4 linked regions of the Tribolium castaneum genome follow. The protein of the gene in region 1 purifies or fractionates together with the protein of each later gene. This does not show direct contact. Links are inferred from orthologs where the notes say so. Each region holds a gene or a part of one and is shown in the gene's direction. Other genes may lie near its edges. The genes, in order: Cpsf73, Fip1, Sym and CstF64.

The links.
Region 2: the proteins of Cpsf73 (region 1) and Fip1 purify together in Homo sapiens (affinity purification with mass spectrometry; 5 studies listed by BioGRID and IntAct, with this or other methods). This does not show direct contact. The link is inferred for Tribolium castaneum from reciprocal best matches to the Homo sapiens genes CPSF3 and FIP1L1.
Region 3: the proteins of Cpsf73 (region 1) and Sym fractionate together in Homo sapiens (co-fractionation; 6 studies listed by BioGRID and IntAct, with this or other methods). This does not show direct contact. The link is inferred for Tribolium castaneum from reciprocal best matches to the Homo sapiens genes CPSF3 and SYMPK.
Region 4: the proteins of Cpsf73 (region 1) and CstF64 purify together in Homo sapiens (affinity purification with mass spectrometry; 3 studies listed by BioGRID and IntAct, with this or other methods). This does not show direct contact. The link is inferred for Tribolium castaneum from reciprocal best matches to the Homo sapiens genes CPSF3 and CSTF2.

Annotation. Positions count from the first base shown.
Region 1 is NC_087396.1:20,617,122-20,624,799, forward strand, and holds the start of Cpsf73 (cleavage and polyadenylation specificity factor 73), read left to right. Parts: upstream 1-2,888; 5' UTR 2,889-2,974; coding exon 2,975-3,045; intron 3,046-3,091; coding exon 3,092-3,155; intron 3,156-3,202; coding exon 3,203-3,300; intron 3,301-3,351; coding exon 3,352-3,480; intron 3,481-3,612; coding exon 3,613-3,790; intron 3,791-3,837; coding exon 3,838-3,927; intron 3,928-3,973; coding exon 3,974-4,300; intron 4,301-4,594; exon of another isoform or gene 4,595-4,738; coding exon of another isoform or gene 4,739-6,316; intron 6,317-6,369; exon of another isoform or gene 6,370-6,553; intron 6,554-7,023; exon of another isoform or gene 7,024-7,162; intron 7,163-7,210; exon of another isoform or gene 7,211-7,381; intron 7,382-7,425; exon of another isoform or gene 7,426-7,678. Other genes in the region: homer protein homolog 2, read left to right, coding at 694-878, 1,090-1,226, 1,486-1,671; delta(24)-sterol reductase, read right to left, coding at 4,739-6,316. UniProt on the Homo sapiens protein: Component of the cleavage and polyadenylation specificity factor (CPSF) complex that plays a key role in pre-mRNA 3'-end formation, recognizing the AAUAAA signal sequence and interacting with poly(A) polymerase and other factors to bring about cleavage and poly(A) addition.
Region 2 is NC_087398.1:1,029,009-1,035,698, forward strand, and holds Fip1 (pre-mRNA 3'-end-processing factor FIP1), read left to right. Parts: upstream 1-3,066; 5' UTR 3,067-3,080; coding exon 3,081-3,224; intron 3,225-3,271; coding exon 3,272-3,714; intron 3,715-3,764; coding exon 3,765-4,005; intron 4,006-4,051; coding exon 4,052-4,226; intron 4,227-4,273; coding exon 4,274-4,563; 3' UTR 4,564-4,660; downstream 4,661-6,690. Other genes in the region: Karybeta3 (importin-5), read left to right, coding at 1-809, 856-1,073; RpS8 (small ribosomal subunit protein eS8), read right to left, coding at 1,539-1,648, 1,845-1,974, 2,136-2,518, 2,844-2,847.
Region 3 is NC_087398.1:8,153,682-8,161,345, forward strand, and holds the start of Sym (symplekin), read left to right. Parts: upstream 1-3,733; 5' UTR 3,734-3,881; coding exon 3,882-3,920; intron 3,921-3,970; coding exon 3,971-4,167; intron 4,168-4,211; coding exon 4,212-4,601; intron 4,602-4,648; coding exon 4,649-4,935; intron 4,936-4,983; coding exon 4,984-5,444; intron 5,445-5,798; coding exon 5,799-6,914; intron 6,915-6,965; coding exon 6,966-7,163; intron 7,164-7,213; coding exon 7,214-7,372; intron 7,373-7,426; coding exon 7,427-7,664. Other genes in the region: GRIP and coiled-coil domain-containing protein 2-like, read right to left, coding at 164-344, 394-3,560. UniProt on the Homo sapiens protein: Scaffold protein that functions as a component of a multimolecular complex involved in histone mRNA 3'-end processing. Specific component of the tight junction (TJ) plaque, but might not be an exclusively junctional component. May have a house-keeping rule.
Region 4 is NC_087400.1:319,482-326,623, reverse strand, and holds CstF64 (cleavage stimulation factor subunit 2 tau variant), read left to right. Parts: upstream 1-3,362; 5' UTR 3,363-3,565; coding exon 3,566-3,617; intron 3,618-3,667; coding exon 3,668-3,746; intron 3,747-3,791; coding exon 3,792-4,215; intron 4,216-4,264; coding exon 4,265-4,448; intron 4,449-4,504; coding exon 4,505-4,634; intron 4,635-4,682; coding exon 4,683-4,712; intron 4,713-4,767; coding exon 4,768-4,856; intron 4,857-4,905; coding exon 4,906-5,156; 3' UTR 5,157-5,252; downstream 5,253-7,142. Other genes in the region: uncharacterized protein LOC659212, read left to right, coding at 153-296, 347-436; APC4 (anaphase-promoting complex subunit 4), read right to left, coding at 443-1,519, 1,975-2,694, 2,741-2,901, 2,963-3,091, 3,137-3,248; WD and tetratricopeptide repeats protein 1, read right to left, coding at 5,420-5,596, 5,808-6,004, 6,054-6,412, 6,468-6,577, 6,624-6,917, 6,968-7,142. UniProt on the Homo sapiens protein: One of the multiple factors required for polyadenylation and 3'-end cleavage of mammalian pre-mRNAs. This subunit is directly involved in the binding to pre-mRNAs.

The DNA of each region.
Region 1 (7,678 bases):
TGTAATTGGGTTTTGTAAAGAAATTGTGCGTGAATAATTAAATTCAGAGCTAATATACACATACTCGCTTTAATTGCAATTATGAAAACAAAAAACAATACTTCTGTTGAACCGTTCTTTGCTACGATTTTTTCATTACGCCGAATATTTGCAATTTCGGTATTAAATAACAATAAAGAATGCAATTAGGGTCTTTGTGCATTAATATCCATACATTTGCGTTTTTTATTGAATTTTTATGCTAAAGAAAGCCGTACTTTGCAAATTCATGAAATGGTACATTAATTTATATAATAAAAATAATAGGTTTTTATTAAACGAGAACATTGACAGGAGCCCAGTTACGGACGGAAAAAATATGCGTTCTGCTTCACCAAGCGCCGTTACGTAATTGTTTATTAATTCGATATTAAGGGGAACATTAATTTTCGCAGTGCATTTCCTAAATTCGATGAAAATTGCATTTTCCTTCCGGTTGGCAAAGAAGCGATAAAATCTCGAGTTTTTCGCCTGGGGATAAGGATGTGAAGTTGTTGCTTAATTGTTTCCAGTTTCACTAATAATGTTCTAATAAATATTACGTGATTGTTATTATTTCCGCCCCATTTAGCAAACTAAATATGGGAAGAGTTATGAAATTGGATTAGTAGTGCTAATATTTAGTAAAACGTTTTGTCTGATTGATGGTTTCAGTTCGGCCAATGCTAAAAAATGGGAAATCGAGTTGGCCACGTTAAAGAGCAACAATGCAAGACTAACAAGTGCACTTCAAGAAAGCACGGCAAACGTCGATGAGTGGAAACGACAATTGGCAAGTCTTAAGGAAGAAAATATGCGAATGAAAGCGAAGTATCAAGCAGATTTGGAAAATAGTAAAGGTGAGTTGGCTGTCAATTGTTTATTCAAATCGGTGTAATAATTGCATAAGAATCGGTGCTTAAAGTCGGCAACATATGGCAAATTGCATTTCTGCAATATGGTAAATGGGAAAGCAATCAAATGATAATAATTATTGCATCTAGTTTATTTGACACGCGGTTTCGTTTTCTCCCACAACTAGAACAATTGAGAGTTTTGTTTATTGATCAGGTGGCGGCGACATTGCCGATGAACTGCGCCAAGAAATTCAAAGTCTGCGAATTCGCCTCGAACAGATGGAGGCCGAGCTGGACGCCAAAAATAGCGAATTCAAGCAGTTGGCTTTCCAGAAACCGTCGGATATTCAGGTAAAGTCAAAAATTTGGAAAAAATAAAAATTTAGTTTTTCTTGCATTCTACGCTCATATCTTAAAAATTTGGGGTAACTTTAAAGCATCGAAATGAAGCGAGTTAGAAACTTTCGTTTGTCACATATTTTTTTCTTTTGGGCAACTAGAAGTATTTGTAGTATTTCTCAAATTTGCTTTTCAATTTTCCCGTACACAAAAAAATGATCTGTTACTTTGTGAAAAAAAAATTCTTTGAAAAACTGTGATTTTCCCGCAGGCGTTGCAGAAGGAAAACCAGGAGCTCCAGGCGACGGCAAAATTGGCCCAATCCGAGCTGGACATCGCTCTCAGCGCCCACGAATCTCAGCGCCAAATCCTCCTCACGCTGAATTCGCAGCTGGCGTCGCGAGTACAAGAACTAGCAACGATCCACGACGAAATCACCACGGCTTTGCAGACGTGAGAGCTTGAAGACAGATAGCATCGTAATGTACGCGAACGCATTTATATTGCATATGTATAGGGTCCGTGTAATATCTTGCTTAGGTCTATAACTATGAATGTCTCGAAAAATATAATATTCATAACGTACGTACTATCGGTTATAAACTTTATACTTTATTTATTTACAAAGTGCCACCGCACAATTTATTAGGTTGTCTAATGTCCATGCATTTATTGAAATTGTGATGTGTCCGGACTCGCGTCCAAAGGCCAAAACGAACAAAAGTTATTTTATTCTGCAGCTTCCTTGATTAAAGTGGCGCCGTCTATTTTTTTTCCTTTCTTTCCTTCACGGATTAAGGAAGCTGTTTTATTCAGCTGCGATTTTTGGTTGTGTAAATGCCATTTAATTGTAGGATTTTCAAGTATCAAAGCGTTTTATACGTAACAATGCGTACTGTCGTGCAGCTTTCAGTATTTTGTTAATAGTTGCAGAATTAACATATCATGGGTTTTGTGTTTTATTATTGTGATGCGTTAATTTTGTTACTATTACCGAGCGCACATTTATTTTAGGTTTCATTTCATCATCGAGATTGACTGATTATTTATTTTACGTTATCATTTGAATCAAAATAAGTCCTCATAAAAACGTAGCGAATTACTTTATGTTGCCATTGTGAAATAGGGTTCTTCGTAGCCAAACACTAAGCTGACAATGCACACGTATTATTACAAGATTTTTTGTTTATTTATATTTTATTTGGTTGAAAAAGAATTGCTTGAGAGACGTTTAGCGCGTTGTTATAATTATATAGAAGAAATGTCTTTCAAGCACGTTTTTAACGTGACTTTCAAAGCAACAATAACGATAATAATGGAAATTTCTCAATACTGTACCATTAGAAGTCAGTGCTATAAACATATTGCACTTGTACTATAGGCGGAGATTTGTTCTAATAATAGGATGAGCTGATTATTATTATGTTGAGATTGTTATAATGAAGCAAAACTGTTTCCAATTTTTTATTTCTGTATAATGCAAGACCAAAATGTATTAGGCGATTTTGTTTGTAGAAATAGATGATTATTAAAAAAGTGACTTTTTGTGTGAAACCCCCAAAACACCCAGAATTCAGGCACATTTTAGGTGTGTATGATAAGGTCTAAGGGAGACAGCAAGGTGGAAAAACGTGTTGATTTGAATTTAAATTTTGTACCAACCTCAAAACCTAAAATTCCCCCGATTTCGAAAGTGATTTTTTTAGGTTATGTGTATCATGAAAGCTGCATAAAAAATAAAGTTTTTGGCTTTGGAAATCATGTCCAATAAACGCAAACCCGATTCCCAAGTCCCAGCCGAAGAAAGCGACCTTTTGACCATTAGGCCACTGTAATTATTCCAAAAATTACAATTTTGTGTTAACACTGTCTTGTAGGGGTGCCGGTCAGGAAGTGGGACGGTCTTGCATAATGCTTGAATTTAAAGGGAAAAAAATTATGGTCAGTTTGATCGATTTTTATTCGTTTATAAGACTTTAAACTTGTAGCTTGATTGTGGAATCCATCCTGGGCTCTCAGGCATGGATGCGTTGCCTTTCGTTGATTTAATTGAAGCCGACGAAATCGATTTGTTGCTAATATCACAGTACGAAACATTTTTTTTTCGTACATTAATAACTGTAACGTGAAATTCCAGTTTTCACCTGGACCATTGTGGGGCTTTGCCCTGGTTTTTGCAAAAAACGAGTTTCAAGGGTCGCTGCTTTATGACCCACGCCACCAAGGCGATTTATCGGTGGTTATTGTCAGATTATGTGAAAGTCAGGTAAATTGTGACTTAATAAGGGCGAAAAAAATTTCTGGTAGTTCTCCGTAATTATTATTAAAAAAAAATAAGATTTATGTTTTTAAACTGGCCCTTGACCTACTTTGATCGGAAATGTGTTCGAATTTGCAGCAACATTGCAACCGAACAGATGCTCTACACTGAGGCGGACTTGGAGGCTAGTATGGACAAAATCGAGACAATAAATTTCCACGAAGAGAAAGACGTTTTGGGGATCAAATTCTGGGCTTACAATGCGGGACATGTCTTGGGCGCCGCTATGTTTATGATTGAGATAGCTGGCGTTAAAGTACGACACTTAAATTTCAAACAACTTTATTGAAAATTTCGTTTTAGATTTTATACACTGGCGATTTTTCGCGTCAGGAAGACCGTCATTTAATGGCTGCGGAGATTCCAACAGTTCACCCTGATGTTCTAATTACAGTACGACTTAAATTTTGACTAACATTTATTCAAAAAAATATTACAGGAATCTACCTACGGTACCCACATTCACGAAAAACGCGAAGAACGTGAAAGTCGTTTTACGAATCTAGTTCACGATATTGTTAACAGAGGCGGTCGCTGTTTGATCCCCGTTTTTGCATTAGGACGGGCACAGGAGTTGCTTCTAATTTTGGATGAGTATTGGAGCCAACATCCAGATTTACACGATATTCCCATCTATTATGCTTCCTCATTGGCTAAGAAATGTATGGCTGTGTACCAGACTTACATCAACGCCATGAACGACAAAATTAAGCGACAAATCGCAATAAACAACCCGTTCGTGTTCAAGCACATCTCGAATTTGAAGGTGAGTTTTTGTAGCTGTGAGTATAGAAAATTTTATTACCAAGTTGGCAATGAGAACCATAACTTGAGTAGACTATAATTAATGCAATGATCACTGAGCTAATAATCGTATTATGAATAATTCGTAAATTCTGTCTGCGTTTTTTATCAAATTGTTATAAAAAACGAATGCATAAACGTACAAAAAAATGTAGTTTATTTTTACGGACTTGAAACTTATCAAGACATCGTGTGAGTGTAATAAAATTAATAAAATCGGTTCGGTGCGGTTATAACTTATCCAGTACGCTTGGAATATGGAAAAAATAATTTATTACGTAATAGAATATATTATTTCAGTAAAATATGCATAAAAAAATAAAAACTGGATTAACAAATAGTTATGAATACGCAACCAATAATACATTTTTAATCGTAGAAAAATACTTGTATGCCATTTTCACTTGATTTCGAATCGTTGCCCCACTTCGAACACATCGATTTCCGGCTTGACCTTATCGTAAAGATGTGGGAACGACCCCTCGGCCCCATACTTCCTCCGCACTTTCTCATACAACGTCAAGTCAAACATTTCCTCAAACTCTTCCCTAGTCATGAAAATATCGGCATACAAGAACGAAAAACCCCCAATATCACGCGTAAACTTCTCCATCTCCCTCATCGCATAAACAGGATTATACCGCTCCTTGCGTTTCACATACCCAGGCACCCCATAAATCCCCAAATCGTTGTACATTGCATAATCGGTCCCCTCAACGATATACTCCTTCCGGGGCGCTTTCAACTGACCGGAAGCCGGTCCTCTGTCATAAACCCGACATGGGTAGACCAGAAGTGGATAGGCGTCGAAAAGTTCGTCCGATTTATCGATTTGATCCTCAAGTTTGCGAATTGGTAGGACAATGTCTTGGAACACTTGTCTTGTGAAAGTGTAAACTCGTACGCCGGGGGTTGTCGTGAATTTGAGGAATGCTGGCTTTGGGGGCAACAACCAGCCGAAGAATAGGCGGAAAAGGGGGTTGTTGCCGAAGGGGATCATTGATTCAACGACCCAGAAAATGGCCCGGTTGTGGCGCAGTAAATACTCCCGTAAAGGGATCAACTCTGTGTGTTTGCCTTTTTTGAGGAATGTTTCCACGTATTTGTAAAACCACGGTTTGTACCAGCGATTTACGTGGTTTATCGGCAGGTTTGGGTCATAGTCGGAGTAAGACCCTGTCATTATTACGGCCCTTTCAGGGCTATAAATAGTCGCTTCCACGTAATCTTCAGTGGGATAATCGCCACTATCGCCTGACAATAACCTGATCATATCACAGTAGTTTTTCTTCCCTTCGACCGGAATATAATTCATTTTGATAAAGGGCTTGACTTTCACAAGTCTCAAGGTTAAGGCTACAAGAAACCCCAGACTGCCGTGTGACCACGGCAGGGTTTTATAAAGATCAGCGTTTTCGTTCTTCGCAGCCCTGACAAGACTCCCATCGTGCAAAACCACCTCGTACGAAACCACCGTTTCGTGGTACAGCCCCACTTTGTGTGAGTGCGTCGTCATGCCGGTGCCCAGCGCGAGCCCCCCGAGCGTGGCGTCGGCAATTTCAAGTGTCACAGCTAGGGTGAACCCCCGCGGAATTAAAAATTGCGTGATTTCGCCCACAGTGACCATGGGTTCGACCCGCACGGTCAGATTGTGTTCATCCAATTGCAGAATGTCGAACAGATCGACGTTGATTTTGTGGCACAGGTCTTTGCGGTAGAAGGTGGTGGAGAGGCTTAGCCAGTTGGGGCGCGCTGTACATAGAAGTTTTCGTTCGTCTTTGGGGATTTTGTTCCATTGTTGGATTTGTTTCTGGATCGCGCGGACGCGCGAATCGTGGTTTGTGGGGCTGCTGAAGAAAAACCGGTGGAGGGTTTTGCGGATTGTTAGGAAGAGGTTGAAAATGTAGCTGGCGGGGAGGCAGAAGAAGAGGACGACGAGGCCTCGGTGGGTTTCGAGGAATTCGACGAGGCGGCCCATCTGGAAATAAATAATTTTGCAAAATTGAGGGAAAAAACAGTTTCTAACCTCACTTTTGGAAGAGTTGATTAACTCTGTTGCGATGTGGTTTATCGGTATTTACAACACTTGAGACGATTGATAATTTATTTATAAATTGATTAAAAAATTGACCTTTCACCTTTTGTCGTTTGCATTTGAATTAATCGCATGTTTGTTTGTTTTCTTATGTGGGTGGAAAGTTATGAAATATCTCCTTTACTTTCTTTACATAGCACGAGGGCACGAGCGACTAATTCTCGCTTGTATTTAGATATTTTTGTAAATTTTTGAGCAAATTATGTAATAACTACACTGTTCTTACATATTTTTATTTATTTTTACAGTACAGTGCAATATCTACAACATTTTTTGTGTGTATGTCTTCGAATTAAAATAACTTTTTTTAATAAATTGGGTAAACAGTCGAAATACTTTCGTGTTCTCATTAAAAAATATACACAACGTTTAATATCTATAACTGTACAAGGCCTCCGCCTAATGTACGCAACCAAATATACAAAAGTCACAAAAGACTAGATAAAAAATACTTGTTTAATTTTTGGAGACCCATGACAGTAGTTGTCAGAAATGTCAGACTGTTACATTAATAGACGTAAATTTTGAATTTTTTGTAAAGTTTAATTTTTGGAGACCCATGACAGTAGTTGTCAGAAATGTCAGACTGTTACATTAATAGACGTAAATTTTGAATTTTTTGTAAAGTTTATTGTTAATTTAATGTTTTATTAAAACCGTTGTACTATAGAAAGATTAGATATGAAACTGAACTAATATAATAACGTAAGTGGTTATGGCAGCTATCATCTGAAACGAACAAGCGATAGCACTGAAAAAAATTTCCACAAATCTTACAGTGTGGCAAAAACTCCAATCCAGTCGAAAAAAATTTCTTGCCCTAAATTCCAGTTTATTGTTCAGAAAACGAATCGAAACTAGCTGAAGATGTCGCAGCTTTTTAGTCATATTTCCATTCGCTTCAAACTTATTCCAAATATCGTGTATGTAACGTCCGGTTATATTGGCCTAAAAAATCGTTTCGGTTTAATTGTCAGATGCTCAGGAATCACCTCTTTTTCGGTCCTCGTGAACATCTCCAGAATTAGAAGAAGCCAAAACACGTAGAACGAAAGAAAAGCAAAGTTATTACCGAACAAAACAAACAAATTGGCTTCGTAAGAACGTGCCAGAAAGTAGATTAAAAAATAGACAGTGGAAGTAACGTAATTGAAGCTAGTGATCATTGCCACGATTATTGTCGTCTCAAAGTGGTGACAAATGTTCAATGTGAGGGCCGTTAGGTCGCAGTGACACAAAGACAGT
Region 2 (6,690 bases), on another chromosome or scaffold:
GGAGCCCGAACCCGAAGTTTTGATGATTCTTTTAGACTCACTCGCGAGGTGCATTCAGACCCTCGGAGCTGGGTGTCTCGACCAAGAGGCCATGACTGAACTTTTACGAATAATAGATAAGTTGATGAACGAGCACTTCGAGCGTGCTGACGACCGCCACAAGAAACACTTGGACGAGGATTACGATGAAGTGGTCCAAGAGCAACTTGAAGACGAAGAGTCGGATGATATTTACGTGTTGAGTAAAATTGCAGATGTGATACACTCCCTGTTTTTGTCGTACCGGGAGGCTTTTATACCGTTCTTTGACCAAATTTGTACACATTTTGTGAATTTGTTGACGCCGAATAGGCCGTGGGCCGATCGCCAGTGGGGGATTTGCGTCTTTGACGACGTGATTGAGTTCACGGGACCGGCGTGTGCCAAATACCAGGGATTTTTCCTGCAACCGCTCGCCCTCTACGTCAAGGATAAGAGTCATGAAGTGAGACAAGCGGCGGCCTATGGCTGGGGAGTTTTGGCCCAGTTTGGGGGCGAACAGTTTGCAGGGGAAGTGGCCAAGATTATACCCTCACTGGTTGAGGTGATCAACGATTCGGAAGCGAAAGAACCGAGGAATATTAACGCGACCGAGAATGCTGTCGCTGCCGTCACCAAAATCATGAAATACAACCCGAAAGGAATCAATGTGGATGAGATATTACCGGTGTGGTTTAGTTGGTTGCCTATTATCGAAGAGGTGGACGAGGCGCCCCATGTTTATGGGTATTTGTGTGATCTGGTGGAGCAGAACAATCCGCATGTTTTAGGTGGGTTGGGTATTACTTTTGGGGTTGTTTGTAATTGTTGTTTCAGGTGCCGGAAATGCCAATATTCCTAGGATTGTTACAATAATCGCAGAGGCGTTTTTCAGAGAAGTGATTGAACCGAGTAAACCGGAAGGATACAGAATGGTGAATCTTGTGCGGCAGGTGCAGTCCAACGAGTCCTACTTTCAAAGTATAGTACAGACTTTAGCACCTGAATTGCAACATGCTCTACACGTTGCTCTTCATGCGCCGCCTCCATCTTAGTTGAATTTTATTCGCAAATTCTTTTTTATAATTCGATGGAAAATTTCAAATGAGTTGTCGCTGATTATTTTTATATAATTAATGTTATTTTATCAGATCTTTTCCATTATTTTTTAGAACTAAATTCTGATTAAAATATTTCAGCATGTAAATATTTTTCTTTTGCAACTCTGGACTGTATGTGATACTCTTCATTTTGGATAGCATCGAGGACGAACATATTTTTGATTGTTAGTGTTTTTAAATATATTGAAAAATATCGACATGATGTTAAGCCACTTCAATAAATCGTAATTTTCTCTACTTTATTGTTGAAAATGCCATCCACGATTATTCCCTTCCCTAAGAATGTTCCCTCCTGTTTGGTGGAAAAAGGACATGGAGCGGGAATAATATTTAAGGATTGACAAAACTTTAATAAGAAACATTGTTGTCAACTTTTATTAAAAGCCATTAGAAAATACACTATTTGGCTTTCTTGGATTTAATCTTACGCATGTAAAATTCAAGTTCTTTACCTTCCAAGATATAGCCATCTGCCCTTCCACACTGTCCAGGTCGCGACGCCAAACAAGCTGGAAAAAAAAACGTATTTAAACGCAATGAATTAACTAAAGAATATTAGTTGAGATAATGAAAAATCAGAGTAACTATGACAAGCAAATCATCGCTCAAAAAGAAATTCAAAACGAATTCCATTAAGAATTGAACTCGCTTTAATTTTTTCATCAGGGAAGTAACGAAACGTGTTAGTATTTCAACATCACATACCCAAAAGCCTGCCAGTTTGGAACTGTTCTTCAAGGGCAGGTTCAACTTTCGCGGTCTTTTGCCTAGTTTCGTACTTCTTTTGCACCTTTTTGCTACGTTTCTTATTTAAAATAGCTTCTTCCTCAGCCGTCTGTAAATAAATCACACTTTAGTTATCAAACTTGAAAGTCCCGGCACATAAAATTGGAAAATAGTCAGCAAATGCAAGAAATTTTTAATCATAAATTTCATATGACACGCAAGAATTCATCACAGTGGAATGTTGGGCATTTTTAGTTAAGTGATACGTACCAACTTCGCGCCCTTCTTGCGTCCCAAAGTCAAAATATAGTGGCTTTCGTACCACTGCCTGAACGGGGTGGCGTCCACAACAACAATCGCATTCTTTACCAAAGTCTTGGTACGAACCAATTCATTGTTGCTGGCGTTGTAAACAACGTCAATAATACGGGATTTGCGAGCAGTGCCTTCGCTGCCCCACGCAAAATTGCCGGTATCTAACCTCAAGGCTCTGTATTTCAAGTTGCCACCACGCGTACGCACATAGTGAATCCTTTGGGGCCCCAACTTTGTATTGGCAGCGGGACGACCCAACTCGAACTTCCTCTTCTTGCGGAGAGGCTTCCTTTTGCCTCCTGTAGCCCGCCGCTTATGCCAATGGTCTCTGCTGATACCTGAAATACGGCAATGTTTAGGACCCAAAAAAATAACAACATGAAGGGCGTAATTAGGGACTGATTCAGATCGCTGTGGGATGGTTTGGAGTCGTCAGCACAACACATCGGACACTTTAAACTTTTTCTCATCATGTTATTGTGAAAACAAGACTAAGGTTATGTCACGAAAACCTACCATATCTCTACAAAACTGACCAAAATACGGGTTCAAACGCACAATATTCTAATCAAGAAATAAAAGGAGAATATTTTAAACCAATAATTTCGGGAAATACCAAAGGATGATTGAAGATTTTCTAAAAATATCGAAGCACGTACTCACCCATTGCAATGAAATAAACTGAAAGAGTGAGACAACAGGAAGTCACTAAATAGGTGAAGACGAAATCCCTAGATTTGACTCAAGTTTTGCCGCAATTCATTCGCATTTATCCTTTATAACTACACTTTAATTAAATTAAATGTTCTTTTAAAGCCGATTTAATTAAAAATGACCAAAATCACGGCTTTAATAATTTTATAAATTTTCGTTTCCGCAATTTGAAATTGAAATGTCAAAATGGCGGACGATGCTGAAAACGACGATCAATGGTTATACGGCGATCAGCCCGAAAATACGCACGAAGAGCCCCCAGCGGACCCGCCCCCGGTTGAAGAGCCGCCTGAGAAACCCGAAGAGCCAGAACCAGTGCCTCCCCCGAAGGTACCTAACGAGAAATCGCCGAAAACGTTTCCTAACCGCACTTTTAGCCTATTGACGATGACAAGCCACCAGGAGTTGACGACGATGAACCCGAGAAAGAGTCTGCCAACGAGAAAGAAGACCAAGAGGATGGAGAGGTGCAGCAAAATGGTGAAGAAGAGGACTTGGACGACGACAGTGACGATGACGTGAATGTTGTTATTGGGGATATTAAAACAACCCCGTCTTACACTTCGCTTAACATCAAACGGAGCGGTTTGCTGACCACCACAGCCCCCGTTGATAAGTCCAAGCAGCCCCCACAACCCGGCAAATTTAGCGTGGAGGAGTTCGATCAAGCTGGAATGATAAATGGGGTCCCTGCGACTGAATACAATTTAGATTCTTTGGAAGATAAACCGTGGCGGAAACCTGGTGCTGATATAACTGATTATTTTAATTACGGGTTTAATGAAGACACATGGAGGGCGTATTGTGAAAGACAAAAACGGTAATTTGTTAATTATGCAATTGAAAAAATCACACTAATGACTTTAATAGAATGAGAATGACTGAGTCGGGAGTGGGGTTGGCGGCACAAATGACTTCAATTGCACGAGGTACAGTTCCAATTATGAACGATAACAGTAAATATTCAGGAAATTTCCTTGGAATGCGCAAAGCAGGGCCACCTCCAGGGAGACGTATGACGGGGTCTATTGACGTAATAGGGGGCACAGCGCAAAGATCCACCCCCACGCCCATCGGCAAGGTGGAGCCCCCCAAAATGAACGTCATTCAGGTGCAGCCCCCATCACCCTCTCCAATTTTTTGTAACATTTTTTCAGGTCATGACCGCTGATAGGAGGGAGTATAGCCGGAAACCGACCGGTTTTCCAGACATGTCCGTACCGCCCCCCAACACTTTTGAGGATTTCCAGCCCGAGTACGGTTTCAACCCCGAACCGGAGCCCTTTTATGGGGGCTACGAACCAACGCAGGATTCGCAATGGGGGGCTGAAGGTGCGGCTACTTATAAATTGGCATTGATGCTAAAACTCTGACTTTAGGTCCTAATCCGCTGGGGCCGCCTCCAATGCACATGGGCCCACCCATGAACTTACCAATGCCTGTCCCATCACCTAGGAAGGATAGCCCAACTAGGATGGACTCGAAAGAGCGGGACAGGACGAGGGAAGACAGCAGGGCGAGGTCTGAAAGGCCCAGGGATCGGGAACGGGAGAGGTCCCACAGGAGGGAAAGGTCAAGAAGTAGGTCGAGAAGGCACAAGTCAAGGTCCAGGAGCCCCAGTCATAGGCACAGGAAAAAGAAGTCAAGGCGTCATGATGAAAGCGATTAGTTGATTAATGATTAGGCATAAAGTATAGTTTGGTTCATCTAACCCTACAAGCATTTTTTTGTATTTATTTTTTTGAAATAAATCAATCTCTTGTCAACTGTCGTTTTTTTGCTACCAACCCGACAACGCAAAATTACAACTGTTCTAAGCTAAATAAATAAGTACCGGCACCGTTCAATTTATTAATTAACGCGAGTTAATGCGTTGTAGCCGGTGATACAGTTAATAATGCAATGATTATTGTTAATCCGACTTTAAAAATTAATCAATGCCGGTTATACGCACGCGCAGACTTTAGCCTATACAAAAATAGGAGAGGTTTCTGTCAAAATTAAACCGAGTTTGTGTACGTTCGCAAGAATACTCTCCTAAATATCGATTATTTTGGTACAGTGCGTATGAAATAACCAAATTGTTGAACAATATGTGAAAATCCGAGCGAAAGCACCGGTTTCCGCAGCGATGTAATTGAAAAATCGCGTTAACCTGAAATGAAACAGCCGCAGTGAGATTTTCATTTCCATCAATTAAAACCGTGATAATAGCCCCAAAGACAGCCAAGTGAGTGTCTCGATGTGTGTTCCGAAATAAAAGTGTGTCAAGCAGCCCCTTTCAGCGCTAGCCGTGGCCGAGAACCCCCCCGAAAATGTAAGTCGGCTTCCCCCCTGACACGTTTTTTGCTTAAACAATCAAATTACAAAAGCAACTTGATAGCATGTTTGTCAATGTCGCACTAGTTCTTTGTGTCAAACAATAAGTCGTAAGGTATCTCTCGAGTGGCGGCTCAAGCCTCAAGTTCACCTTTTTGCAGGTTTTTGTGTAAGTTATTTGTGTGTTTTTCTCGTAGTTGTAGTGTTGCCAGGCACTGTTTCCTGATATTCAGCTGTTTAGGGTCAAGGTCAGATGGGGGCGGACACCCCTTGTTGCAAGCATTTGCTTTTGATGAAGCGCTAAACTCTCTCTTGCTTTGATAAATGTTTTTTGGTTGCTTCCTTTCGGCGAAGATTAATCGGTTTTTCGGTATGTTAAAGGTTTCGGAAAATAATTACACCCTGCGGCTTTTATGAGGGTGCTTACCGAAAATCGTTCATCATCTACAACATGTGCACATTTTTTGCAAACGGACGGACGGTGAAAAACTCCACTCGGTAATCGATTCGTTGCTCAAATGACGGCTAATTGATATTCAGAGGAGGAACTCGACATGACTTGGCGATGTAGAGCTCCAATTCTTGAAAGCTTTTAAGTTTTGCCCCTTTGTGACTAAAACCGGAGATAAATTGTTTAGATTATCCTGCGAAAGATTCGCGTGTTATGCAACTAATTGTTTTGTGAGAGTGGCATTTTTTATATTCACTTGTGGATTACAAAGGGTGCGAAAGAGTCGATTTATAATGATCATGTCCCGGATATAGTCACACAGGGGATAATAAATATCAGCAGACCTTCTATATTTCTGTGAAAATCTATTGCAATAACAATAACATTTGATGTTTATTTATCCAAAAATTGGCTTAAATCGGTATTTATTTTGTCATCCATTTCCAACTTTGGCCATTGGCCAAATCGTATTTTCCCCACTGGGCAATTAATTAAAAACGTTACACTAAAATTACACAATTATTTTCTTAATTAAAGGTCAAAAAATTATATAAACCTGCTTTATTTTAAGAACTTTATCAGTGTTGATGCAAAAAAATGTGATAAGGTTTAATTTTCATATCTGGCAATTGAGACTGGACTACGTCACATGTAAATTCGTTTTTTACCTATCAGCAGTTGACTACGGAAAACTGAGCTGCTGCCTCTTATCAATGAGGTAAAGAGGTTTTTCCGGTCTAGAATGATAACTCAATTCGTTCAGAGTTGAAAACGTCTTTTGGTTTACTATTGTTGTGCATTTTTACATTAAAAACAGCGTATTTTTTATCTGCGCTGCTTTTTTCTGCTGTTCTTGCATTGTTTGTGTGTATGCGTTACATGGACATTAAATCCACGTGATTGCTAACACGACTTATTATAAAAGATAATTCCAATTACAGACCAAGAAGTATCAGCGATTGTTTATTGTTTTCTACCCACCATTGTGATATCGAACAGAAATACACGTTTAGTAACTTAACATTT
Region 3 (7,664 bases), on another chromosome or scaffold:
ATTGGTTGCATAATTAATACATCAACTACTTTAAAAATGTAATAATTTTTCAAGATTTTTTAAATCTCTTTTAGTTATCAAGTTATTATATAATTTTCATAGCATGCGTTTATATATTTGTCTCAAAATAACCCAATTATCTGTCATGCAAATCCATTTTTACCTTTAAACTCCTGACAGTCTCGCTGTGTTCTATCATGGTCTGCTGATGCTTGTTAGTTAGTTGGTCGTAGAGCGATTTAAGGTCCTCAACTTCGCTCAACACATCTTCATATTTGGTCAAGACTTCCGATTTTTCGTGAACCAATGCTTCATTTTCCTTCTTCAAATCGTCAACAACAGTTCTACAAACGTGACATCAGTCACAAAAACTAAATTTCCACTCTAACTTACTTGCACTTGTTTAGCTCCGCAGTGAGAGCCTCACACTTAACCCCCAGAGCTGACACTTCTTCCGACAATTTTTCCTCGAGACCAACATCGCGACTCTGGTTCTGTCTCAAGACACTCTGCGCCCGAACCTTGTAATTTTCGTAATCATTTTGCACGATTTTCAGTTCGTCTTCCTTCAGTTTTAGCGCATCTTGGACGTCTCTCAAAGTCTGCTGCAGCCCCAGAATTTGCCCTTTCAAATTTTCTTTCTCGCTTTTCAGGCTTGTGTTAACTTTCTGATGCTCGGCAATGACTTTGGATAACTCAGTCGACAGTTCCTCATTTTCCGAACGCACGGTTTCCAAAATTTGGGTCAAATCGTGAATTTTGTTCTCCTTACTCGACATGACCGATTCCAAGTCAGAAATTTGCTTCTTACAAGCGATAATTTCAGCCTGTGTTGCTCCGACTTCGCTCTTCATCTCTTCCGCTCGTTCTTCTAAAAGCTTGTTCTGTTCGCGGACCGCATTTGTTGTGCTTTTCTGCGACTCGAGCTGGCTTTTCAACTTGTTGATTTCTTCTTGCTTCTTTTCCAATTTCTGGGACAACTCCTTGACACTCCTCTCGTAGTCTTGCATTTCCAGGTTAAGGACGGAGTTTTTCTTGCGTTCGATATTGGAATGTTCAAGGGAATTTTTCGTTTGTTGGTGGTACTCGCTCTCGGCCTTGAGCGCCTGTTCTTTGGCCTCCAAGTCCGAGGTGAGTTTGGCGATTTTGGCCTCGTATTCCTTCTTCAAAACCTTATTCGCTTCGAGTTCCTTTCTAAACGTCGAAACTTTGCCGCTTATTTGCTTCTTCCAGGCTTCAGTCGTGACTTTCTCTTGGTTTAACTCTTCCAATTCTTTCTTGAGTATGGTGATTATCTCCTCGTTTTCGCTCAGTTTTTGCTTATCTTTGGAAACTTCAGCAAGGGTCGAATCCAATCGGGCGGAATATTCCTTTATTTGTTTTTTGTTTTCGTCCAATTCGTCTTGTAATTTATCGCACTGGGCTTGCAAAGTTGCGATGGTTTTCACGTTACTGGCACATTTTTGCTGAATATCGTTCTTCTCGTTTTGCTCCTTCACCAATTCGTTGGACAAGTCACGAACTTTCCCTTTCAGTTTCACGGCCAAGTTTCGTAGTTTTCCGTATCTTTCCTCCCAAGACCCTTCCAGATCTTTCATTCTGTTTGATTCCTCCGTTCTTGAAATTGTCGACGTGGACATGCACTCGCTATCGGCGTAACTTGAATCAAGATTCGAGTTTAACCGTTCTTTCAAATTCTCAATTTCGTTTTTCAAATCACTGATTTCGGAGGTGTTTGAGTTTAAGTCACTCGTGGCTTTAAGTCGCTCGATTTCGTCTTCAAGTTTTTTAATTATTTCCTCCTTTTGGGATATGTTGTCAACGTTTTTGTTGGCTTGTGTCTCATACAATTGCAATTTTTTCATAACTTCTTCGCAGTGAGATTGCAATTTGGAAATAGTCTCTCCTCTTTCTTTCAGTGCTTGATTCATTTCGTTCATTTCGGCCAAAAGTTCGGAATTTTCTCTCTTCAAACCTGACACGACTTCTTCCAGTTCGCTGTTTGTTGAATCCTCAGTTTGGCATTCCACTTGTTTGCAGTTATCACGGGTGGTTTGCAATTTTCGGTTCATTTCCACCAACTGGGCATTTTCTTGAACTAGTTTAAGTATTTCTTCACTGGTTTTATCAGCAATTTGCCTCTCCGTTTCTTTTGAATGTTCAAGTGCTTCTTGAAGACTGTAATTCTTCTGCTTCGCATCATTTAGCTCCCTCAAGTTTAAATCTAGATCCTCCTCCAGCTTGGAGATGACTTTTCGGTATTCAATGCAAATTTTTTCATTTTCTTCGATTCTGTTCTTGATCTCAATTGTGTCTTTCTTGCTTTGGTCGTCAAAAACTTTGATTTCTTCCTGATGTCTTTCCTCCAATTGAGACAAATTCTCAAGCAGACTCTCCTTTTCAACAGTGAGCGTTTCAACAGTTTGCTGGTAGTCAAGTTGAAGTTGTAACAATCTTTGATTTTCTTCAATCAATTTCTTATGTTCTTTGGAAATTCTCTCAAACTCGCCAAGTTCTTTACTTTTCTCGTCGTCGGTTTTATGTGCCTCAAGTTGTTTCAGATATTTTGCATTACTTTCTTTCAAACCTTCAATTTCCTTGTGATATTCAGAGTTCTGTACTTTGATATCACTAATTTCTTGGCACAACTTTTTTGAAGCTACACCCAACTGTTCTTTCCATTCTTCCACTTGATGTGAGTACGTTTTGAGCAAACGCAAAACCTCGTTTTTATTTTCCTTCAAAACCTTCACATTACCGGCCAGTTTTACAACTTTTGAGTGATAAAATTTCAGTCTCCCTTTAAGTTTCTCAACCAACTCCACATTTTCTCTTGTTTCATTTTTGATTTTTTCTAAATCCTCGACCAATTTCAATTTTTCCTGCAACTCTTGGCCTATCGTTAAAATGTTCTTATCCTTCTCCCCCAGATTCGTCTTGAGCACGTCAATTTTCTCCCTCATTGTGTTATTCTCAGCTTGCAACTTCTTAACTTCCTCTAAACTAATACTAAGCATCTTCTGCAACTCTGCAGACTTATCACTTGTGTCATCACTCCGTAACTTTTGATTCGCCTCTTCCAACATCAGCAGCTGATTTTGCTGTTCAAGTCCCAGGTTTTTGCACTCTTCGAGTTGCTTTTCCAGAGACTCCAGATGCGTAATCAGCTGCTCATTTTCATCCGTCAAACGCTTGATTTGCCTTTTATACGAAATATTCTCGCTTTCAAGCCTATCCTTCTCCTCACACAGACGTGCGTCTTGCGTGCAGTTTTGCACTTTATTCACCAAAGCGGCATTTTGGCTCTTCAAGTCTTCAATCGTGGTAACAAACTGCAACTTCTGTTGGGTCAAATTTTCGATAATTGCAGTTGTGGCATCTCCAGATTCCGATTTTAGCCTATTTTTCAGCTCGTTATTTTCCTCCTGGAGCGCGTCCTTCGCCTGTTTGGCCTTCTGGGCGAGAATCAAAAGCCGTTCGCACCGTTTAACCAATTCCTCTTTCGATAAATTCTCCAAAACGATTTTCTTGCCACTTTCGGATGGCGTATTCGATTCCATCTCGATAGTTACTTAATCTATTGTATTGTAATTTCCAAGTAATTAGCAATTACATTGTATTTTAATAATTTTTTATTATTTTGACACATCAATAGTATTTTGACAGCAAAAGTCGCCAACAAAAAGCGGAAAAGTTACTGTTTTTTGGTAACATGTTCACGTCACTTCTGCCATAACCTCAATCTTTGGCTTTCCAAAAATGGATGATTGGCTCTCATTTTCAATTAATTTAACGCTTTAGATAAAACTAGCTTTGTTTTCGAAATTTCGTTGCTTTAGTGGCAACAATTGCGTCATTTTTGGTTGTAAAATCCTCTCGACATGGATTTTACCATGAACGAAGTTTCCGACGAGGATTTAGTAAAAAACCGAGATTTAGTTGATTTCGGTAGTAAAGAGACGCGTTTTAGGTGACCCAATGGATAAATAGCGCTGCAGTGTCCCGCTCTGCTGCAGAAAAGCTTGAATACTTCCACAAATTGCAAGAAGTTTTGATTCGGAAGTCGCCCCATTTGCTGCCAAAGTTTTTACAAAACATGCTTAATTTCACGACTGATAGGAATGGGGACGTGAAAAAAGCGCTAGTGGGTTTTATTGAAGAGTTATGGTAGGTTTTATGCATTTTAATTGGTTACTTAACTTTTGTTTTAGCAAAATGCGCGAGTCTCTTTTACCTAAAGTAATGCTAAACCTTCATATGCTACTATGTGATGAGTCAATAGCGGTGCAAAAGCGCGTAATTCAAGCTTTAATCAGTATTTATCGCAAAACGTTGGCCTGGTTATGCAAGGCTTCTGTAATTACAGAAGAAATGGAAAACGCCTGGAAGCAATTGTCTGCCATAAAATTAGAAATTGCAAATATGATTGATAGTGACAATGACGGCATTAGGACTAGTTCAGTGAAATTTTTAGAATGTGTTGTGTTGTTGCAAACTTATCCCGACCAGGAAGAGAACAAGAAACCGAACGACTTCTCACTCGATGATGTTCCTCTGACGTTAAAATTGGCGCGGAGGCGAAAACTAGAAGAGGAAGCAAAGTATTTATTTTTTTTTAAATTCGCAAATTTCTAATTGAATTTTTTAGTACCTTGTTTGAGTTACTTTTAAAATTTTTTGGCTCTCCCCATATTAGCAGTGCCAACTTGTTAACCTGCCTGGGCGTTGTTACAAACATTGCAAAAAATCGGGCCGAATTTATGTCTCGAGTTGTCTCAGCTATTGAATCACTTTACAATAACCTACCTCCAACTCTAACAACAACTCAAGTGAATTCCGTGCGTAAAAAATTAAAATCCGAACTCGCTGGACTTATCAAACACCCAGCGGCTTACGAATTTGTGGAGAAATTAACCCCAATGCTCACCGATTTAGGTGCGTTTTATTTTTACGCAAAAAAATTTTTTAGGATTTTTTTCTCAGGTTATTCCCAGCAAGACATTCTTAAAATGGTACCGAAACCCGACGAGCGGCGGAAATATTGCAAGAGGACTCTCTCAGTTGAGTCCCTTCAGATCTACAATAAAAGACCTAGACTTGATCCTCAAATTGAATTCGATAACGACACCAATGACAGTGATTCGCAAACACTGCAAGAGTTGAATGAGAACTTTGTGTCTGAAAATTTCACGTTGGAAAGAGCGGTTCAAATGGTTTTCGCTTCTATGAGTAAACTGCCGGCTACAATGTCTCCCGATTTTGCGAAAGAGTATGGCAAATATGTCGATAGTGGAAAAGTTGGCCAATTTGATGTTTTGACAAAACTTATTGCCACGTATTTGACTGAGGCCGGGGTTTCGCCGTCTTCGAAAAGTTTTGCAAAAAAGGTCGAGGAATTTAGACAGCAGGAGAAGGAGGAAGAGGACAAGGAAGAGAAGGAAAAGGTAAGAAAACAATTTTTGCACACAAATAATATAATAATAAGTAAAACAGAAACAGTAATTTGCAATTCAGATTTCACATTTTCAGCTGTATTTAAGAAAAGATAAGATGTAATTCATTGTACCAAATATTTGTCTATTTATTTATTTATTTATTTATGTATTTATCTTTATCTGTTAGCTTATGTTGGTTCGGATGATTTGAGAAGTTATGTATCACGCATCCTGTATTTTTTTTAAGTTATGTTTTGATAACTTATCGTAATTGTGAGGTCAAAGAAATTTTAGTAATTATTCTTAAAAAAAAATATAATGAAGCCTCTATTTGTTTTACAACATGTTTTACACATTTGGTAGCTCCTGAAGAAGGAACGAGCAAAAGTTCCCCGAATCAAGACACTGAAACTGTCCGAAATCACCAAACCTATCGAGAAAGAAACAAAGGAGAAATTGTTAATAGGGTCCATAAACCGACTTTTAACCGCGGACAAAACAGCCGCAAAATGCTTGTACCAAAAACTAATCACCACAATCGCAGCCTGCTTTAGCCCCACTGTCAGACAAACAGTGTTGGCGTTTCTCCTATCAGACTTACGGTCTCACATAGACCTGGCCCTGGCGTGGCTTTTTGAAGAGTACGGAATACTGCAGGGCTTCTCAAGAGTGCCCCCTTTACGCAAAGACACCAAACTGGACAAAAGCTACAACATCTTGCTTTGCACATTTATAAACGCTTGTATGCACGACTCAGCAGTGCTCTGTCGATTGTTTTTGGAAGCGCCTTTAATAACAGACGAGGCTTTGGATAAGCTCCACCAGTTGTGCCGAGACGAGAAGAAATGCACAGCAGCTTTGGGGTTGTTGCACGATTTGACGGTCCGGAAGCCCCCCAAACAGTTGATGTTCCTCAACGCCCTCCTCTCGTACACGACGTACGAATTGAGCGTGGTAAGAGAGTGTGCCATTGGACACGTTTTGGAGTTGCACAAGAAGGTGGAGTTGAGGTTGGTGATTGAGGAGTTTGCACGAATGAATTTGGAGTTTTTGAAGTTGCAAAGGCCGCCGGAGAGTTTGTGTGGGTTTAGTCAAGGGAGGTTGAAGAGCGAGACTTGGGGCGATGATTTTATAAAAGCTTGTCTTATTCCGTATATTTCGCTATTGCCAGCCAATGAGAGTCTTATTCATGACTTGGCTAAGGTTTACGTACAGACGGGGGCCAACATTAAACGGATTATTCTACGTCTGCTTGAAACCCCGATCAGATCAATGGGGATGGACTCACCTGAGCTTCTAAAACTGGTGGAGGAGTGTCCCAAAGGCTCGGAAACTTTGGTCACGCGTGTTATACACGTTTTGACGGACAAGGGCCCCCCGAGTGCACAGTTGGTGCAAAGAGTCAGGGAATTGTATCACACGAGAGTGTCAGATGTTAGGTTTCTTATCCCAGTTTTGAACGGGTTATCAAAGAAAGAAGTAATGAGGTCGAGCGTCGTTTGTACTTTTGACTAATTTGTACAATTGTAGGTAATTGCAGCTTTGCCAAAGCTAATTAAATTGAACCCGGTTGTTGTAAGGGAAGTCTTTAACCGACTTTTAGGCTTACATGGTGACAGTCCAATTACCCCAACTGAACTTTTGGTCGCTCTACATTTAATTGATTCCACGAAAGCCGACTTGAAAACTATAATTAAGGCCACATCTATGTGTCTTCAGGAAAAACAAGTACGAATTATTTTCGCACCGAATATATTTCTCAAATTACCAAATTCCAGGTATTTACTCAAGAAGTATTAGCTGTTGTTTTGCAACAGTTAATGGACCAAACCCCGCTACCAACTCTACTCATGAGGACTGTCATCCAAGCTTTGGGCAGTTATCCCCGACTGTCAGGGTTCGTGATGAATATTTTGCAACGTCTGATCTTAAAACAGGTTCTGTCGTATTACAAAAAAAAAATAATCAATATTTTTTGTTGCTTTTTGAAGGTTTGGAAACAGAAAGTGGTATGGGAGGGATTTATCAAATGTTGTCAAAGAACAAAACCGCAAAGTTTTACTGTTTTGATGCAATTACCACCGCCCCAACTATCTGATGCGTTGTCAATTTGTCCCGAGTTGAGGGAACCGCTCAAAGAGCATTTGCTGAATTTTACTGAAGGGCAAAGGTCGCACATCCCGCCCACAGTCCAGGAAATCATTTTAGGAAGTTACGCACAGCCGCCAC
Region 4 (7,142 bases), on another chromosome or scaffold:
ATGGGAAAATAAAGCCCTTTTATATTTTGTTTTATAATCTCGTTATTTAATTTTTTGTATCTGTACAAAAACTAAAAGAAAACAATTTTTCTTCCACCTTGCAAGGTTAATTAATAAGGAAAACGAATTTATTTATTTTTTAAAATTTTCAGGTTTTATGTAAACAATACTTCGAGTGGGTACAATCGCACGCCGGCCACTTGCCACCAGGGGCGGTCCAAGGGGGGCACACCAGCGAAGGGGAGCCCCTTTACATAGGCCGCGCCTACCACGAAGGCTCCCAAACAATTGGCAAAGTACTTAACTCACCCTTATAAATTTTAACCCTTGATCATTTATTTTCCAGATACACCCCAGCCATGGTGTCTGCTACATAGCATACGGCGGCGAAGAAATCGCTTGTCCCGAATACGAAACTTTAGTCCTTAGAATGTAAATAAAGTCATTCTTGTACCCCACTATTGTTCATCTCCGCATCTTCCTCCTCCTCTTCCTCCCCCTCCATTTCATACAAGCGCACCTTCCTCCGATTTTCCGCCAATACGATACCGACACGTCGACTCCCCGACACTGCAAACTCCGCCCCCACCATCCCCTCCACACACTTAAACAGCTTCGGAACCAAACACGAACCGTTCAAACTAACCACGTTAACCGCACCACTAAAAACACGATCTGTCTCCCCCCCATCCACAAACTTGTCCAAAACGCCACCTATCGGTATCTGACTTAAAACTGTAGCTTTAGAAACGGTGTTTTCTTGCAATAAAACCGACAATACTGCACTCGAATATAGTTTAATATCGATCACGTGATAATTATCCTCGGAATTGTCACGGGGGAAGTACAGACGCGCACACTTTATGAAACAATTGCCATCGTCTAGATACACCTGCAGGCCTAGAACGGTCTCAGGCGGCTGCAAGTAACAAAAAAGAATCGATTCTTTGTTTAAGTTGACTTGGGACGTCCGTAACGAATCGCCGCAAAATTGGAAACAATTGAAGTCATTCAAATGACTGAACTGCCTACTAATTTGCTCTCTAGGTGTCGCGAAAATCGCATCGACGCTTTGCTTCAAATGCTTGTACTGTTGTATCAGCGACATCTCTTTGAAGTGCCTCAAAATGGAACTATTTTTTTCGATGCATTGGTTCTGGGCCAAAAAATCAGTCCATTCGTTCCCGGACATGTCTGGTTGGATCGTCAAATTGCCATCGCTTAAATATTGCCCCAACCGCTCCATAATGAACCCCTTTTGTTTGTTATTCCGACTGATGTGGTCAAAGTTTTGCAAAAATTCGGTGATGTAAGCCAGGTCTTGCTGAGTCATTTTGGGGATTTCGTTCGGTATTGGCTCATCCAGAACGTGCATTATTGCCGTGTAGAGCCAGCGGAAGAAGGCCTTGTAATTGATGATGGAGTGATTGATGATTTGCTGCATTTCGCTGCCTTTGATCAAGAAGGCGCCGTTCGAGGAAATGGCGCCGGTAATGGCGGCCGCGTCCAAACCCAAAACCTACAATCACCCAATCACCATTTTTTACACTAATAACTTCTTTTCAATTGAAACGCGTCCTAAACGTGGGAGCGAAAAGCCGAAAAAGGCGTTTTAAAGCCGTCAGGGGTTTCCCCGAATATTTTGGACTTTTTTCACGTAGTATTTGCTCGATTTTAAACTAAATATTTATTTATTTTGCCAGATAGTATTTTGTTCGTTTAAAAAATCAGACACTATATTCGTTTCAAAGCAAACCTGATTGATATTTGTTTGTTTCACTCAATGTAGCTTGTTGCGTAAAATTTCGTCTAAAATACGCCTGTTTTTTAACTATTTCTCAGACTTTGAAATTATCGAACTAAATGTGATTTTTCCATTTTTGTGCATTTTTGATGGTTTTTCTTGCCAAGTTCACACAAAATTAAATTTTAATTTTTTTGTTGAGTTGGCAGCCACCACACACTTGTACCAACCTTATAGCGGTGTTCCAGTCTTGCCATCCCCCTCATTTCGGCCAAGTGATAGGTAACATTCTGCCCAAACTTCATCACATACTTCAGCATCAACTTCTGAATGTTGGAATAACTCATCTCAATCGTCTGCCCGAACTTCTCCAACCCTTTCTTCGTTAAATCGTGTATGAGAAAGGTCTTCATCTCATCCGAGCAAATTCCAAACGTCAGCAAATCCAAAAAATCAGCCGTGACGCCCCCTTCTGGCACCTTGCTCGCATATTTCGACAACTTGTTGTCCATCTCCAGCAAAATGCTCTCCCAGGACTCGGTGATGGTGGTAATAGTGTTGGAGAGATAGGTCACCAGTGAGGTCAATTTTATGTGTTTGAGGGCCAAAGCGAACAGTTCGTTTGTGTGCGTTTTGAAAATTTCCGAATCGAAACAAATCAATTTAACGTTGTTTTCGTTGTCTCGCACTGTGAAAAACATGCGGTTCAGGTCCTCGTTCAAATGCATGTTCTGGATGGAGCAAAGACAGTTGAGAGTTTGCTTCAAGTCAAGGGAAGCGCACGGGAAACAACCGAAAACTCGCACGTGCACGGTGCCCTCACTTGTCCCAATCAGGAGCAAATTAAAGTCGGTTTGCTCTTGCAAAATGTTGGTTTTCTGACCATCGTCGTTGTTGGGGGAATCGAACTGTTGTAGCACCGGTTCGGGCAAAAAATTACCCGATAAGTCCTACAACTGGGAAATTAAACGAGCACTAACATTCGGGTTTTTTTACAATGTGTTTCATGTACTGATTCTGTTTACTGTCTTCGTCAACTGAAGGCAGTTTCCCTTTAACAGTCCGGTCTTGCAACCAATTGAGACATGAAACTTCGCCCTTGATGTCAATAGTGTGCAACACCGACTTATTCTCGACCTTCACAAGCAGTATTTGGCCTGAAATTGCACAAAACAATGGATTTAAATTATTTCCAATACTTTTTTTACAATATTTTACCAGAACTGTACGCAATTGCTATGATTTTGCCGTCAGGCCTCCAGGCAATACTTGTGACCTTTAACCCATCCTTGGGGGCACTGAGACTCCACGCTTTGGTCCAAGTGAGTCGATGAAGAGCCACCTCTCCTACAAAGACACCCAAAAATGCCGGTTACTGCAAATGGGGGTTACCTTTGATATTGGCAAGAGCGACAAGGTCCATACGGTCGCTCCACACCATTTGAACAATCTCACTGGCCACATTGCGCTCTTCGAGCTGTTTAATCGCCTGAACTGTGCTCATTTTCCAACAATTAGTAACAAAAAACAATTTTCAAATTGTAAGGTTACGTTTAATTCTGTCATGGGTACCAACTGTGCGTCTGGACCCGATTTGCTTTATTTAGCCAAATGTGCACAAACAGGCCTAGTCAGGCGTTACGATTCACTTTAGGGTTGTAACCACAATAGATAAACCAACATTTTTGTTATTGTTGGCTTTAAAATGCATAATTTTGTACTTTTTTAAAAGGTAGAGGGTTGGTAACGCTGACCGTTTGTTGAAATTGGTGTCCCAGGTGTCTTGATTACTTCGTTCCAAGTTGGAATTAAACAATCACCATGGATAATTTAGAAGCAAATATCATGGACAAGTCAATGCGTTCGGTCTTTGGTACAAATTATTTAAATTTTAAGTGATAATTATAACCCCATTGCTTCCAGTGGGCAACATCCCCTACGAAGCCACCGAAGAGAAGCTCAAAGACATTTTCGGCGAAGTAGGCCAGGTCCTGTCATTCAAGTACGTTGCCCTGCCCCCTGAAGCCCCCTAACGCCTGAATTTTAGGTTGGTTTTCGACCGCGAGACAGGCAAGCCCAAAGGCTACGGCTTCTGCGAGTACCGCGACCAGGAGACGGCGCTCAGCGCCATGCGCAACCTCAACGGGTACGAGATCGGGGGGCGCAACCTCCGGGTCGACAACGCCTGTACCGAGAAATCGCGCATGGAGATGCAAAACTTGCTGAACCAGCCCCCGGTCGAGAACCCCTACGGCGAGCCGATTCAGGCCGAGAAGGCCCCCGAGGCCATCAGCAAAGCCGTGGCCTCGTTGCCCCCCGAGCAGATGTTCGAGTTGATGAAGCAGATGAAGCTCTGCATTCAGAACAACCCCACTGAGGCCAGGCAGATGCTGCTGCAGAACCCCCAGTTGGCGTACGCTCTGCTGCAGGCGCAGGTGGTTATGAGGATTATTGACCCGCATACGGCGGCTGTGAGTTGGGGGTTTGGGGGCGTATTTATATTTTATTGGGGGGTTTTAGACAATGTTGCATCCGCAAAATCCCGTTCCTTCGTCTTTGACGCCCAAGGAAAAGACTAATCCAGGCCCCATTCCGATTAACAGTAATTATGTCTCGAATCCCACGCCTGTGCAGCCCCCAAGACAGGACTTTCAGCCGGTGCCAGCCCCCGCGATTCATAATAATTCCAATCCGGTCTTCACAGGTGATTTTTTTTATCACAATTGATTATAAATAATAATAATGTTTGCGTTATTGCAGGTCAAGACGTTGATCTAAGATCACTGGACCCCCGAGGGGCTGATCCTCGCCTCAGCCGCCTGGGCGACCAGGACATGCGCACTTTGCCCGGACAACTCCCCAACCCCCTTCCGCCGCCACTTGTCGAAAAGTAAGTAAAATAATTCAACCTTGAGCCCTTTTACTCAAATTTAAACAGTTTCACTAAGCAGGATCAGAAATTGGAAAGGTAAATAACCATTTACAATTGATTAGAAATACAATTTACTGATACTTTTTCTTAGCTTTAATAGGGACCCACGTGGAGGTCCGGCCAACTTCCCATCTGATCCGAGACAACAACAGCGAGCTGACCCAAGACAGAAAAATATGCGTATGTGTGAAGTACGTAATTGAATTGGTTGTTGAAAGTCTGATTTTAGCCCCTCAGCAAAACGCGATGCCTCCGCAGCCGGTCAGAGCCCCGCAGGGGCCCCCCAGTACCCCCCAAGTTCGCCAAGCTGCCAATGTTGCTTCAAGTATAGGTACAGCTGGGGCCTCAGACCAGGAAAAGGCGGCCCTGATTATGCAAGTCCTGCAATTGTCAGATGAGCAGATTGCAATGCTGCCACCTGAACAGCGTAATAGTATTCTAGTTTTGAAGGAACAAATCGCCAAAAGTGCACACCGTTGATTAATTAAGTCATTTCCCCAAATCAGTTTAATTTTTACAGTTTACATGATAATTAAAAAATCTTTAAAATTATTAACATAAACACTATTTACAGTATTGTGTATATATCATTTAAAAATCAACAACAAAAACGCACCCTCTAGAAAGTACAAAATAAATGAGCGATTCCTTCGGTTGTTTACGATTAAATTGTAAACAAGAGGTGGATTTATTCGTTTGCAACTTTCAGTTACAAATCTGGTTGTAATGGTTTTGTTAAAAAATTAGCTAGTTCGGCACGTTGGTACTTCTTGAATGGACGATCCGTCTAAAGCGCTTCCTTCGATCTGGTAACCCATGCTCGCCAACATTGATTCGAATGGGTCCATTGACATGCGATGCTGATTTGTTTCGACTACAGTGGAGATGCATTTGACGATTCGGTTGTTCACTTTGCCGTCCTAAATAAACGACAACGGAAACTCCAACATTAATAAAATTAATAGAAAAAAGTTACTATATTTCGGAGAAAAATTTCCGATCAAGTGACTAAGTTATCCGTTTTCGAAAAATCATACTAGCCTTTTTTTTGGAACCTTTATCGAATTAAAAAAAAGCCGTAATGTAGAGTGGCCAACTTAATTTCAAAGTGAGACCAGCAATTGTGCTTACCTCAGGCCGAGGCGACCATATTTTAACGGCCGTATCAATCCCGCTGGACGCTATAACACAGGCACTAGGGTGTGGTTGAATGCAATTAACTATCGAGTTATCTCCAAAGAGAGCCCTAACCACATTCATACTCTTCTTATCCCAGATAAAAATGATCCCTTCGTCCGATCCTGCACAAATATAATTATCACAATCACCTGAAAGCCGCCGTGAAAAAACCAACACTCTACAACCACCACAAACAACCTAAAAAATTCGCCTCCTTGATATCAGTCGTGGTATTACAATGCCCTATGTAAATCTTCTCAAAATCGAACGAATCCAAACGTAACTTTTTCTCATCATCTTCCACCTTCTTCACTCCCGTCTCCTCAAACTTGACGCTGTTTTTGAGCGCTTGCAACTCCTCAACGAGGAATTTCACCTGCGAGGAGGTTTCACATTCGGGGTAAAGTTTTGTAAAGTGTTTCAACCAAGCGTTGGCTTCGTCTTCCCACTTCATGGCAATTAGGCATTTGATTAATCCAATGTAAGCCTGTTTATGGTCCGGCCAATGCTGAATCACGTGTAAATAATCACGTGCTGCCGCATACAAATCGCCCATCCTAACAAGAAAAAAAAAATTAACAAGCCTTTTTTTTTGGCTATTTGTCTCAATACCACTTGCGTTGGTACGCCTGTAGCGCCCGCCTCATGTAAAAGCAGGCACAGTCCGTGTTTTTCTCAAACAAGTCGGCGCTGACCCCGTTAAGTTCAGCCAACAGTACGTTCTAAAAAAAATTGCATTTTCCTAGTAGTGACTGGGGGGATAATTACCGGTTGGCAACAATTCCGGTAGGGTTGATGGGGCCGTTTAGGTAAGTTTTGGGGGATTTTGAGTTCGTTAATGTGTCGGCTATTATTTACATCAAATAAATAAATCTGTTCACCCCCGATATTTACCAACATTTCTGAACCGGCGGAATTGAACGCGATATAAGTGACTGATAGTTTGATGCTCATAATGCCGGCATTTTCGCGTGCCAGGTGCCCGGGGGCGTAGTATTGCACACAGTCGCTGTTTTGGGGCTGCGGGGACGTCCTCTTCGACGGATTAAACGACAAATTCGCCTGAAAACCCAAAAAATGCAAGTTTTTCCCCAACATTTTACCTATTTTACCATTGATACTTTGATCATCCTCCTGTCATACAAGCGCACGAAGCAGTCGTTGGCGCCTATTGCGATATAGTGCGATTTTGTGGGATTCACAGCAATGCATTTGATTTCCGATTTGAAGCTTAGGTCGACTAAGACCTTGCTTTGCGTGGGACACTCGTGGGGTTCCCGCAAGTCG